2 linked regions of the Cricetulus griseus genome follow. The protein of the gene in region 1 purifies or fractionates together with the protein of each later gene. This does not show direct contact. Links are inferred from orthologs where the notes say so. Each region holds a gene or a part of one and is shown on either strand. Other genes may lie near its edges. The genes, in order: inhibitor of Bruton tyrosine kinase and Rpp25l.

Region 1 (7,197 bases):
AGCAAAGTTGCATATTTACAACGTATGACTCAGTATTCATTACTGCCGTAACACTGGTATTTCTCAAAACACTTCATAAAAGAAACCTACACAGAATCTACTTAGTGAGAAATTTCAGATAAATTAAGCTGATTTTAATTATCAAATTTTTAAGCAAAAAACCTTTTATTCTAGATAAACAAGAAGTGGACATATTATTCAAAACCATAATTCTTATCCCTAACTGATGCTCAACAACCAGTACCTTGGTAAAATAGTCAATGATAATTTGTCATCTTTTAAACTCGAAGATACTTTAAATTTTTCAGCAGAATGATGTTAGACTGGAGTAGCTTTCACAGTGGATTTCATTGTAAGCAAGCAGAAGCCCAACATAAACAGAGAAAAACTGAAGACCTGACCAGTCACCAGCACCAATTAACCTCTAATGAGGTCTCCACTCTGCACATGCACCAAAACAGCTCTCCAAGCCTCTGGGGGAGAGGTATAAATAGGGTACTAGAGGTGGAAACCTGAGTCTTGAGAATCCTGGGCAGTATTCTGCCCCTAAGCTACATCTCCACACTGAACCTCTCTGGTATCAGGTGCTGTCCAATTCATGAATCATTCTTTTTTCAAACAAATTCTTTCCAAGGTTTCTTCTGACACTAACATACAGCGCACATAACATACTGTGCACACAACATAAAATTGCACAACAGCTCATTATTATATGTTGGGAGCTTTGATGTATATTTGAAATTTTACATAAAACATATAAGTAAATAAGATCTATGGTACTTTAAATCTAAAGATGAGTTATAACAGTAACAGTATCAAACACATATAAACTTCTCTTAGAAAATGCAACATGAAATAGATTAAGAAAATCACATGCCTAAACTCCAGCTACAGAAGCAGATCAGTGTGCCTTGCTCTGCCATCATTAGAGAAGTTTCCTCCTGCAGTAGATAGAAATAAATACAAAGACCCACAGCCAGACAATATGCAGAGAGTGAGAGGTCTTGGAACACTCAGCCCTAAATGGGATAGATCCATCAAATCCCTCCCCTCGGGGTTCAGGAAATCCTGTGGAAGAGGAGGTGAAAAGAATGTCAGAGCCAGAGAAGACAGAGGACACCAAGGAACCATGACCTTCTAGACAACAGGACTGAAATACATCTGAACTCACAAAGACTGGGGCAACGTGCACTGAGCCTGCAACACTCAATACCAGAGGGGGTCCAGAGCTGAAAGGAGGAGTAGACACATGCCCCCACCCCTAACCCAGAAGCTATACTCCAATTGACAACCACCTGCAAATTTAGTTTTCTCCAAGGGAGTCTCACTGGGGAAAGAAACTACTCCTAAGTGCAGGCTATGCGTCCAGCAGATAGCCAAAAGAAAATAAACTCAATGGCAACACTGGAGATTCTTTGTCTTATAATGTTATATCCAAACATTTTTTTTTTAAATTTTACCTATTCTTTACTTTTATTTATCTTATATTTTTTCTATCTTTTTACTCTACAGGTCCTTTATGTATATAATATGGATTACAGTTTAGCAATTTTTTATGGGACTCCTGAGTGTGGAAACCAGTAGTTCTCTGTTTCTTGTGCCTTTTCTTGGGCTCTTTTCCTTCAATTTGTTCTGTTCAATTGCAATGTGTTAGTTTTTGTTTTATCTTATTATACTTCATTTTATTATTATCCTAGAAAAGCCTGCTTGCTTTCTTTCTTTCTTCCTTCCTTCCTTCTTTTTTGGTATTTTTTTCAAGGCAGGGCCTCACTGTATAGCTTTGGCTATCCTAGAACTCACAATGTAGACCAGGTTGGCCTCAAACTCAGAGATCTGCCTAGGTGCTTTTGTCTCCCAAGTGCTGGTAATAAAGGCATTAACCTAGATTAAAGGTGTGGCTTGTTTACTTTCTAATCAGAGACAGAAAGGAAGTGGATCTGGATGGAAGTGGAGATGGGGAGGAGGTAGGAGGAAAAGAAAAAAAAAGTTTGTGTGTGTGTAGAGAGAGAGAGTACATTTTCAATAAAAAGGAAAAAGAAAAGAAAAGTGAATGTCAGTTTTAGATAAACTGACACTTACCTTCAACAGAGACCAAGTGCAATCAATATGTCCATAAAAAATGCTCCTGTGCAATGCTGTCCAGCCTGACTCCTTGTCTTTCACCAGCAAATCCACTCCTTTCTCAATAAGCCAATCTAACACTCCTTTCTTCCCACAGGAGGAGACCAGGTGCAGGGCATTCCTACCAAAGGCATCCTTGACAGTTGCAGCATTGTGACAGTGACTGGAGAGGAAGGCCTTGATCTGGTTCTCACTCCCCTTTGTTACCACAGAAAGGACATCCAAAGCATGCTTCAGCGATCGGCATTTTGATGTGCAGTCAGGGGTGGCAGAATCCATCATAATTGCTTTTGTATTGCTTACTCCTTCAGAAGAGTCACTGAAGTGAATTTTAAAAATGAAAAAGATAGGACCCAAAGATAATATTCAGAAGAATTACCAAGAAGATATGACCCTTTGGGGTATTTAAATAGTCACAACAATTATATAAAACTATATATCTTTGTATAATCTTTTGGCACTTCAATCAAAAAGTTATAAATAGTTCTATAAAGTTCATATCAAATACAAGTTCTTCATTTAAAAAAAAATCCCAGTTTAGAAATTATTCCTAGAGTCAAGCACCAAGGGGGAGTGAGGAGGGGAACTCCCCCTCCACACCGTCTGAGCCTTTCAAATATCCATAATTGCGAGGGTGACCTGTAAGAAAACAAAGGAAAAGCGAAATTACAAATCTAACTCTCTTGAAGTACTTTACAATGTAAATAGCTCCACATCTAAATGCCTTTCATTCATTAAAAAAAAAAAAAAGGCTATTAACCTTTCTATGTTGGTCTCTTTCACTGCCTCCTCTACCTTTAAACTCTATAAGCTACATCCCCAGAAGCTACAAACACTTTCACATCTATTATCTTCAAGAGAATGTCTTCCAACGGGCCACCCCCAAAAACTACATCATAACCATTACCAAAACAACCCATTACTCTGGTTTACTTCATGGCAGACAATGTGTCTGCTCACCTGAATGGCCTCTTGTCATTGGGGGAAATAATTAAACTAAGAGTATCAGAAAAACTGAAAAGCTATCTGGAAAAAATAATTTTTGACACTTTATACCTATATTAATATAAACTCTAGATGGTTTACAAAGACAAAAATGCAGCCATGAAAACATACAAATTAGTTTATAATCACCATGCACAGAAAGTGTGATCTGAAATCTCAAAGTATAAAATGATGATGAGATTCAATACAACTAGTAAAACTATATAAAATGTTAAAGACAAAAAAAAAGGAAAATCTTCCTTCCCTAATACATAGTATGTAAACCTTTCCTTTGTAGGGTGAAAACCTTTCCTTGCTATCTATTCTTTGGGAACAAAAACAAAAACAAAAAACAAAAAACAAACAAACAAAACAGTTACAAGACTCTTTAGAGTGAGGCACAAGTGCACTGTGTGTACAGTGGAAACCAGTATATTAGATACAAATATCGAAGAGTCTAGATATGTTATTTCCATACCCACCTGAAACCCCAATCAAAGTCAGAAGTCTTACATGGAACTGGCTTTCTGACACTGACTATTCTGATGAGAGCAATGAACTACTTGAATTCTAATTCTAACTCCAGGTCTGTTTCTGCAAACCTATACAGTTTTTAATTGAACACACTCCCACAAAAACAAAACAAACAAACAAACAAACAAAAAACCCACCTACTTCAAAAATCTTAGTTTGAAACTAAAAGAAAAGAATAAAAGTCTTTGGCATTTAAATGGCACCAAGAAAAAGGAACCAATGCCTTCAGTAGTTTAAAATGCTAAAACTAGGACTGGTGAGATGGCTCAGTAGTTAAGAGCACTGACTGCTCTTCCAGAGGTCCTGAGTTCAATTCCCAGCAACCACATGGTGGCTCACAACCACCTGTAATGAGATCTGGTACCCTCTTCTGGCCCGCAGAATACTTCATAGGTAATAAATAAGTCTTTTTAAAAAATGTTAAAACTAAAAGCACAATATATAGCAAAATAGTCAACTCATTAATTTTGTTCTTCCAAAGCTCTAAAACCCACCCCACTCTTGCATGTTCCACATCAGGGTGGGTTAGATATTAGAGAGCATTTTGTGCTTGAAGTGGACATTTCACCAAATCCTAAAATGGCAAGGCTCCTGGCTTCGGTGATGGGCTAATTAAAAAAAAAAAAAAAAAAAAGTAAGGGAATCAGAAACAAACATAGCAAGCTATACTGGTTTGAATGGGAATGGCCCACATATTTGTATTTTTTTAATAATTGGTCCCCAGTTGGTGGACCCATTTTGGGAAAGATTATGAGGTGTGCCTCAGAAAAGACATGTAACTGGGAACCAGTTTATAAGTTTCAAAAGACTCTAGCCACTCCCACTGTCTCTCTCTGCCTCCTACTTGCAGATAAAGATGTGAGCTAGCTCTCAGCTATTCTTCCCACCATGCTTTTGCTCTGCCATGATAATAGACTCTAACCCTCTGAAACTATCACCTCAAATAAACCTCTTCTTTTACAAGTTGTATTGGTCATGATGTCTTATCACAGTAGTAAATAATGCACAAACAAATTACAAATCAAACTTTGTCTTATACATGACATACATATGAAATGCTGAAGAGAAACTGAGCTGGCAAAGCATAGCTAGCCAGCTTAGCTACTGGCAATGGTTCAACCCCAATGACTGTCCCACCACAAAGATTTTAGCCAGTCAACATTGAGTCCTGAACAACGGTTCACTGGCCTTATATCCATCAATAATTAAGAGTATAATTATATTTTTTAACTAATCTAATCACCTACTCCCTTAATATATCCCAAACAAAAGAAAGCGGAAAAACAAGCAAACAAACAAAAAAACAATGTCTCACATGTTAAAAACAGCTTTAACTAACAGTTAAATCAACAATCTTACCCATCTGAACTTTGTGAACTACAACAACCAGTCTGACAAGATATGTTCACTGTTGTAATAGTGGCACACATGTTATGGAGTAAACACTTTCTGATTGGACTTATTGCTTGTTTCATAAGACGGAGCTCATATGTGGCACCACTAATGGGGCCAATTAATGGTTGGGTAGGTCATAGGCCCTAGCAGAGAATCTACTACTATTATTCTGCTAAATGAGAATAACATTTAACCGACTTCTAAGGACTTCTCATTATATCCATAGATCACTGCATCTCTCAACCTTCATCACAGCATCTTTTAGTAGTAGATAGTGATGAACACAGAGAGCCACGGGGCAGGTCAGCATGCAGCATTTAAGAGACTGTGGAATGTTCACTTCCAAATGAGGTTTCTGGATCATCTTCCCAAGGCTCAGGGAGCATTGTGGATGACTAGATAAAATAATTTAAGAGCCAGAGGAAGTATACAGCAAAACAGTGATTTTCTGAACACAACATGATGGTTGCACATATGAACTCATAGCCACTGTGACTGCATGAACATGATAAAGCCAGACAAAATCCTAGCATGGGGCAGGGAGGCAATCATGAAGTCACTTCCCTAGCTGAGGAGCTACTAATAATTGATGGCTGATAGGAGAAAGTCACTTTCATCAGGGGTGTGGCTCCTGAGAGGCTACCCATGCTCCAGTAGATGGCCTTACACCCATACACATACAGGCAGCATTAAGTGGCCTAAGTGAGTTTGTTTGTTTGTTTGTTTTTAAGATATTAAAATGGAAGAGAACAGTGGTGAGAAGGAACTGGAGGGGAAGAAATGGAAAGTAGGTTTAATCAAAAGACCCTATATGCATGTAAGAAATTCTCAAACAAGAAAAAAAATACCGTTGGAAGCCCAGGTAGAGTTTCAGATGGGCACAGGTATTTGTGGTGGTATGAATGATAATGCCCCCAAAAGATCCAATGTTTAATGTCTGGTCCTCACTTAGTTGAACAGAGTTAGGGTGTGGCTATGTTGGGAAAGTGTGGCCTTGTTAGAGGTATGTCATTGGGGGTGGGCTTTGAAGTTTCAAAAGCCCACACTAGGCCCAGTCTCAGTGTCTCTGTCTCTCTGCCTCTATTTGGAGGATCAGACTTGAGCTCTGAACTACTGCTACAGAGCCATGCCAGCATGCCTGCTGCCAATGCTCCTTGTCAAAATATCAAGGACTAACCCTGAAACTGTAAGCACGCTAATAACAATTCAATATTGTCTATAAGTCACTTTGGACATGGTGTTTCACAATAGCAGAACAGTAACTAAGACTGTGTAATAGAATACACAATGCTCAGATTCTGAATTCAGAACACCCAAGCTAGTTAAGGCAAGTACATAACTACCTAAGGACCCTGAACATACCACTTACTTTCTCTAAGTTTCAATATTTTCACTTGTAAAAAGGAGATTTAAAGGTATCTCTTGACCTGTTCTAAGACATCTTGGTAAATAAGTCAGAAAACATCTATACTATATTAGGACCCTTTCTTTTTGAAATACTTGTCAACCAAATCTTTAAAAGGCTACGTTTCAGTGCTTATAAAATAGTATCTACCATCTTTTGAACTTTCATATGGACATGTACATACAGAGCTTTACCTAAAGTAACGAAGTCTCATTTCAACCCTACTAGTGACTATAAATATGACTACCTTACCATGAGGAAACAAGTAGCCTACCTAAAAATCATACAGAGAGAGGAGTGCCCTGGATGGCACTTGTTAAACAACTGGCTCTCAGACAACATTTAGGAATGTCAATAGGATATAACACTGTGTAGTCAAGAAAAACTGTCCTTGGGGTTGCTACACCTAGAACCATAGACAAGTGACTCGAGGTCCCTATTCCTCCATTTCTTCCTTTGTGAGCTACTGACAATGACCTCCCTTGGAGATACATGCCTTGCTGACATGTGTCCTTGCAGGATGGGAGGGAAGCACGTTATACTTCCTCTTAATTTTCACAATCAGTAAGCAGGACTGTTTTCACTGAGCTCTTTAACACCAAAACACCTCCCCTGTACACCTGTATCTTTATTAATGTAAGTGCTACAAGCTGCAGATTACAAGTCATAATCAGAGAAAAGTTTTTATAAACCTAAACACATTTTTAAAAATAAGCACTTACAATGGTTTAAATAATTTAGTTCTATTGATACTGTAA
Region 2 (6,708 bases), on another chromosome or scaffold:
CACACACACACACACACACACACACACACACACACACACACACACACACACACACACGGAAAACACCCTAACAAATAAACTGAAAATAAATCATTAAAAACATAGGGACAGCGGGTGGTGGTGGCACATGCTTTTAATCCCAGCACTCAGGAGGCAGAGACAGGCAGATCCAAGGCAGCCTGGTCTACAGAATTGAGTTCCAGGACAGGCTCCAAAGCTACACAAAGAAACCCTGTCTTGAACAAGCAAACAAACAAACCATAGGGACAGAAGAGGAGGGGATCCTAATGTGTAGAAACCGCCCCTCCAGTTACTCTTTGGGCTGCTGTTCAGGGCACCTGACCTAGGATTGGAAGTGCCTGTTTTGCAGTTTTCTCCTTTCGCTCTAGGTTATTTAAGCACCATCTTTTTTTAGGTTTGGAGGGAAGGAGTTCAGTGGGAGATGAGGCATTATTCCACTCCTTTCTAAGCTATGCTTTGGCCTACAGGACCAGTGTATGGAGATCAGTGAGGAGTCCAAGGCTCTCCTGGAGGAATATAACAAGACTGTATCTTTTGTGCTTAATGGGCCCTCTCCCAAAGCCTGTTTCTGCTGCCCCTAATGCGCCCATCCCATTCTCTCCTCTCCTCTCCTGCCTTCACCGCTTTGGGCACATGCCAAATCTCTGTGCTTCCTCATTCACACTCCTGTTGTCACCTTGACTTCTGACCAGACAATGCTTCTCTCCAAGCAATTCGTGCAGTGGGATGAACTACTCTGCCAGCTAGAGGCTGCCAAGCAAGTGAAGCCAGCAGAAGAATGACAGTTGCTTACTGTGCCAGGCCAGGGAAAGGGGGGCCAGCTCCAGGGCCCTGTGCCACCCTGTCTTTGTGAGGCAGAGACAGCTTTGTATTTATTCAATTCAAAGACTACCTGTCTGCTCAGTTGGGGCTCTGAGGTCAGAGATCAGGTTACCTTAGAGTCATGATTTGCACTCCCCATCAGTGTATTTATTCCAATGACAATAAACTGTAGCTACCGCTGAAGGTGTGTTTTGGCTTGCTGATCTAAGATGGGCTTGGCTGTGAGAACTGGAATGGTGAAGGGGAGAGCTGTCACTATCAGGGTGGGACCTGGAACTACTCCTGGTCGAGCTTCTGAAAGATGTAGTACTCTTGCATCTGATTGATACAGTGGGGCATTGTATATTTATCCCACATTTTCCAACTGCCCTCTAAATATCAGATCCTACGGCACGTAAGGAGGGCACAGGTAGGGTCACCTCATTTCTGTATAGGGTTTGGGGGAAGACCAAGAAAGTGGTAGTCCTACCAGGTGGGGCTCAGCATGCCAGGATGATCATGGAGGAACAAGCAGGGACGTTCAGAGCCAAGGCAGCATAGCCTTGTGTCTACCGAATACCAGAAGAGGAGCCAAGAGGCTTGGATGCAGTGAATTTTAGGATCTGGGAAGGAGGAGCAGATGATGGGAAAGCTTGGATGAACAGTTTAAGCACCGCGCTCCACCAAGTGTATGCTGCCCTCTTGTGGCCTGAGGGAGTGCCTCGGCTCCTTCAACTGCCTGTAGACCAACCAATTTGTAGTTTTGCTGGCACGCAAAATGCAGCTTGTCCAAAACGATCTGAAACTAGCAGTCATCCTAGACTATTCCAACAAATAGTTCCCGGCTCTTTCCCAGAACTTCCTACGAGTTTTTACCAAGTTAATTAATCTCTTCTCAATTCTTGCCATTTCGGTGGTTAATCAACATGTTGGACAGATGTTGCAGAACCTGTTTCACTCTGAGTACTGTACTAGGTTCCGTGGGCACCCTCCTACCCCCGCGCCTGACGCGTTATGATGGTGCAGGGTACAGACCCTTCCCAAGGTCACGGTATCTGTTGCCCCCACTACCGGATCCTCCTAGCCTATACGCCAATCTATGGCCAATGAGTTGTGCACAAGTTATGGCTTAGTCCCTTCTGAAGACTACCAGGGTTGTCCAGTGCCCCAGGATGAGAACAAAGCTCAGAACTAAGGGTCTCGCCCGCTTGTATCCACCAATGCTTCAGCTTCTCCTTCACCGATGCGGTGAGTCAACAGGTGACGCGCACCATCCATCGTTTAAGGGCACAGATTCGCATTCTTCATGCTCAGGACTCCTCCGATAGCCATTCCTCTCCCGGGCAGGGCCCTCTGCGGGTTCTGGCGTGCTTCGGCATCACCGCGGACCGCGGGATGCGGGCCAGCTGCGGGTACCAGCTCAGCTGAGCCCAACGGCGTCCCGGGTTTCCCTCAGGCCCCGCCCCCTGCGTGCGCGCTCCCGCGGCCCCGTGCGCTCCCGGTCTGCGCGCCATCTTGGGTCGAGCGTGGACGGGCGGTAGTGGTAAGAGCCAAATCCCAGGGCCTGGGTACTCAGACGTGGGGAAAGGGGATGTCTGCTGCCTGGGACAGCGGCCCACGACCGGGGAGCCCGCCAGACCGTCCATGTTTGGTCCGAGCAGTGGTCTGTGCGAGCCCCCACTCTCGAGTTCCCGAATGGCCTGGCTCAAGCCCCCCAACCCTGGTAATCTAAGGATGAAGTCTACTCAGCCGGCCGAGAGCCCGGAGGGGCCGGTTCTTTCTTTAGGGAGTACTTTGTGAGAGTTCGTGGCTGTGCCCCAGGCAGCCTGGGGCCAAGTCTTGATTCTGTTTCCTGGAAGCACACAGTGAGAGGAGCTTGTCCGAGTCCTTGGAAGCCTAGTGAGGAAAGGCTCCTGTTTTAGAGAGTTGTGGGTGAGGAGGGGTCTGGCCTAGCCCTGAAAAGCTTGAGCTGATGAAGCATGGCCCTATCCCGGATAGCCTGGTTTGGGGAGTGGGGGGAGTTTGGTTCTTTCCGTGTGTAAGACTCTCCAGCCTTGGGGTGAGGGGTATATCCTGGAGGGAGTGATGGAGGATGGACCTGGTCATAGTCCTGACACTCATCTGACCGCTTCCCCCAGTGCACAGCAAGAGAGATTCACCAAGGCCACCGGAGCAGAATGGAACACTACCGGAGGGCTGGCTCTGTAGAGCTCCCAGCATCTTCACCAATGCCCCAGCTACCTCCTGACACCCTGGAAATGCGAGTCCGAGATGGGAGCAAAATCCGAAACCTGCTAGGACTGGCTTTGGGTCGTTTGGAGGGGGGGAGCACAAGGCATGTGGTGTTCTCAGGCTCTGGCCGGGCAGCTGGGAAGGCTGTCAGCTGTGCAGAGATTGTCAAACGGCGGGTCCCAGGCCTCCACCAACTCACCAAGCTTCGTTTCCTGCAAACTGAGGACAGCTGGGTCCCAACCTCACCAGACACAGGCCTAGACCCCCTCACAGTTCGACGTCACGTGCCTGCAGTGTGGGTGCTACTCAGTCGGGACCCCTTGGACCCCAGTGAATGTGGCTACCAACCCCCGGGAGCGCCCCCAGGCCTGGGCTCCATACCTAGCTGTGGTCCCAGACCCCGAAGAAGGGCTCGGGACACCCGGTCCTGAAGACCTGCTGAGCCTGACTGTACTCTAGACCTGATTCTCTGTGCCTTCTGTAAGAAGGGCTTGTGTGACACTTAACATGCCAGCAAGGCTTGAGTCCACTGGAGTCCTGCCTCCCCTCCCCCCTGGGATGCGGGATGCTATGAAGAATGAAGGGCATATGGGGTCAGTGCTGAGTTACAGACTGCTTGAGAAGGGCTTACTCTGTCTACAGTATATCTGACTTGCCTTTTTTGACATCAGTCTAGGAGAGGGAAATAAAGGTCATGCCCATTTGTTTGGCCTGCTTGTGTGTAAGTGGGATTGGAGGGGTGTGAGGCCCGCCTTGCCCCGGAGCTCATGGCCTGGAGGCCAGAAGGGTAGGTAGAGGCCGCTGCTGGGTGGATCTGGTGTCAATACATTTCAAGCAGTCACCTGCATGACTTTTTGCCACCTGCTTTAAGCTGGCTTGGGACTCAACCAGGTCAGGCATTTCTCCCATCTGTGTCATATGTTTTAGAATAGTGGGATCATGAACTCGGGCTTTGCCTGTCACGGTTTTAGTCCTGGCTCTCCCACTCACAAGTTACTGCTTTGTAGTTTTGGATAAAGCTACTTCCTGGACCTTTGTGCTCCCATCTGTAAAATGGGGTGTAGAGGGTTTACCTCATTGGCATTCTTTTTTAATAATTTATGTTCATTGGTGTGAAGATGACAGATTTCCTGGAGCTGGAGTTACATACAATTGTGAGCTGCCATGTGTGTGCTGAGAATTGAACCCAGGACCTCTGAAACAGCAGCCAGTGCTCTTAACTGCTGAGCCATCTCCAGTCCGCCCCCCCCCCATTAGAGTTCTTATAAAGAGGTGTCCATATTTGACACTCAGATACCACCTGAGCACCTGATGCTATATAAATGTTGTAAGTGACTTAAGTTTACAGACATGCTGTTTTTTATCTTGAAAGTAGACCTCAATCCCACATCTTTCTTTGGGTGTCATTCTTGCCTTTTTTCCATTGCTGTTTTTTTCTGCCTCACTTTGGCCTTGGATTCAGATTTACTGCAGGTATCTGAAGAGAGAGAATGGTTATATTGGTAGTCAGCAGGCTCCAGGTAATAGAGTGGAATTGTAAGCGGCAGTGGTCTCAAGAGTTGATCAGCTACACTGTGAATCAAGATTTTCTCCAGGGTGTCTAGTAACCTGGATGTCCAATTACACGCAAATAAAACTGGGGCTCTGTTGGGTTCATGTAGCAGGATCCAGCTAGTTGAAGGTGTTAGGCAGTTTTTCTCAGTCTGGGCAGGAGAGATTGGCATGATGGGAAAAAGTTGGGGAAATTCAGGACTTGATATGGGCTTCAAGGAGGGATGAGTGACCATAGGACCATGGAACTGTGGCCTGAACTTTAAACACTACATCCTTTGCTTTCCAAGGTAAGCTGTCCCTCAGTGAGAAGGGGCTTGAGGGAAAGGGGCAAGTCAGGATATTGGGAGAGGTGAAATCTCGGTAGCTACTCTACCAGACCCTTTAAATACAGAGGATCCTGAAACAGGTAACATAACTGCTGAAGACAGTTAAACTGCCGTGCCGTGTTATACTGCCAACAACTGCCTGACCTCTTCAAGCTTTTAGCTAAAGACTCTTCGGCTTCTACCAACTACTCTCTTCAACGAGTGTGTCACCATGCCCTGCTCTGAATATCTTCACTGTGTATATTTTGTTGTCAGAACTTTGGGCCACATTTCCTTATAGGTTATTGATAAATTTTGTTGTTTTGGGGTTTTGTTTGTCTGTTTTTTGAGACAGGGTTTATCTGTGTAGATTTGGAGCCTGTCCTGGATCTCACTCTGTAGATCAGGCTGGCCTCAAACTCACAGACATCTTCCTGCCTCTGCTTCCCAAGTACTGGGATTAAAGGCGTGCGCCACCACTGCCCGGCAGGCTATTGATATTTTTTTGACCTAGCATCTCATCCTGATCACTTTGCTTTGGCAGGTTGAAGAGATTGCATGTAATAAACACAATAGCTAAGTTGGAGGGGCGATTCAGGATAACTATGAGCTCTGGAGATCAGAAAGGGACTCCCAATTGGGCTGCTTAAATAGAAACCACCTGAGAGTTCCAGAATGAGTGTGGAGGAGTGTAGAGGGAAGCACCTGTGGTAAGAATCCCTTGAGAGAACAGGTTCTAGGGTGCTTTCCCTAACCTTTGGCACCTAGAGAGTCTGCCTGGCTCTGACATCTTCAGGAGGAATGCCCCAGAGGGAACCAGAGATGAAGCCTGGGAAGTGAGCTCAAGCTTAGGAGAGAACCTGAGGGTTGTACATGGTTCTTTACGTCCCCATTTCTCCTTAATCCACTGTAATGTGGTTCCTGCTTCCATAATGCCTTTAAAAAGCTTTCCCTGGGGACAAAAGGTAAGGAGATGTGGGGATATCCCTTTCAAAAAGTAGAATAGAGCTGGGGAATTAGCACAGCAGTTACGAGCTCTGCTCTTCCAGAGTACCCAGGTTCATTCCCAGCAGCTACATGGTAGTTTACAACCAACTTTAACTGTAGTCCTAATGAGATCTGGTGCCCTCTTCTGGGGTGCAGATGTACAAGCAGATGAAACACCCATATACATAAATAAGAAAAACAAAACAAACCACCTGTTCAATTCCTGGGACCCACCATGCAGCTCACAACTGTCTGCAACTCCAATCTCACCCTCTTGTGACCTCAGCAGGCACCAGGCACACATGTGGTTCACAGACATACATGTAGGTGCAGAGGTCAGCGAGATGGCTCACAGGATGGACTCTCATCACCAAGCTTAACCTGATTTCAATCCCAGAACCCATGTGGAAAAAGAGAGCTGACTTCCACGAGTTTCCCTGGCCTCCTTGCAAATGCACACACAGGCAAATTTAAAAAATGTAAGTAGGAACAAAGATGACTTCCTGTAACAGAAGGGAAAGAGTTGAGGGCAAGCAAGCGTGCAGACGGTGTGGAGGCGACAGTGGGATATGGGAGTTCAGAAGTCCTTTGATCATGAAGCAAGAGTTATTAAACACGGATGGGAAGCAGTCGGGGAGTTTGAATAGTTGTAACAGAGAGATGACATGATCTACCAAGGCTATAAGCCCAGTGTGCGCTGACGACTGTGAACTTGGAGTTTCAGTAGCAGAATGTGGGCTCCAGAAGCATCCACAAGCTAGGGGAGGCTGTCCCTCCACACTGAGTGAGACAGGAACAAATGAAGAAT

The links.
Region 2: the proteins of inhibitor of Bruton tyrosine kinase (region 1) and Rpp25l purify together in Homo sapiens (co-immunoprecipitation; 3 studies listed by BioGRID and IntAct, with this or other methods). This does not show direct contact. The link is inferred for Cricetulus griseus from reciprocal best matches to the Homo sapiens genes IBTK and RPP25L.

Annotation. Positions count from the first base shown.
Region 1 is NC_048597.1:195,936,089-195,943,285, forward strand, and holds part of inhibitor of Bruton tyrosine kinase, read right to left. Parts: intron 2,761-7,197; 5' UTR 2,404-2,760; coding exon 2,080-2,403; intron 1-2,079. UniProt on the Homo sapiens protein: Acts as an inhibitor of BTK tyrosine kinase activity, thereby playing a role in B-cell development. Down-regulates BTK kinase activity, leading to interference with BTK-mediated calcium mobilization and NF-kappa-B-driven transcription.
Region 2 is NC_048595.1:100,886,925-100,893,632, forward strand, and holds Rpp25l (ribonuclease P protein subunit p25-like protein), read left to right. Parts: upstream 1-2,376; 5' UTR 2,377-2,413; coding exon 2,414-2,545; intron 2,546-2,561; exon of another isoform or gene 2,562-2,754; intron 2,755-2,960; coding exon 2,961-3,485; 3' UTR 3,486-3,758; downstream 3,759-6,708. Other genes in the region: Dctn3 (dynactin subunit 3), read left to right, coding at 489-548, 714-803. UniProt on the Homo sapiens protein: May be a component of ribonuclease P or MRP.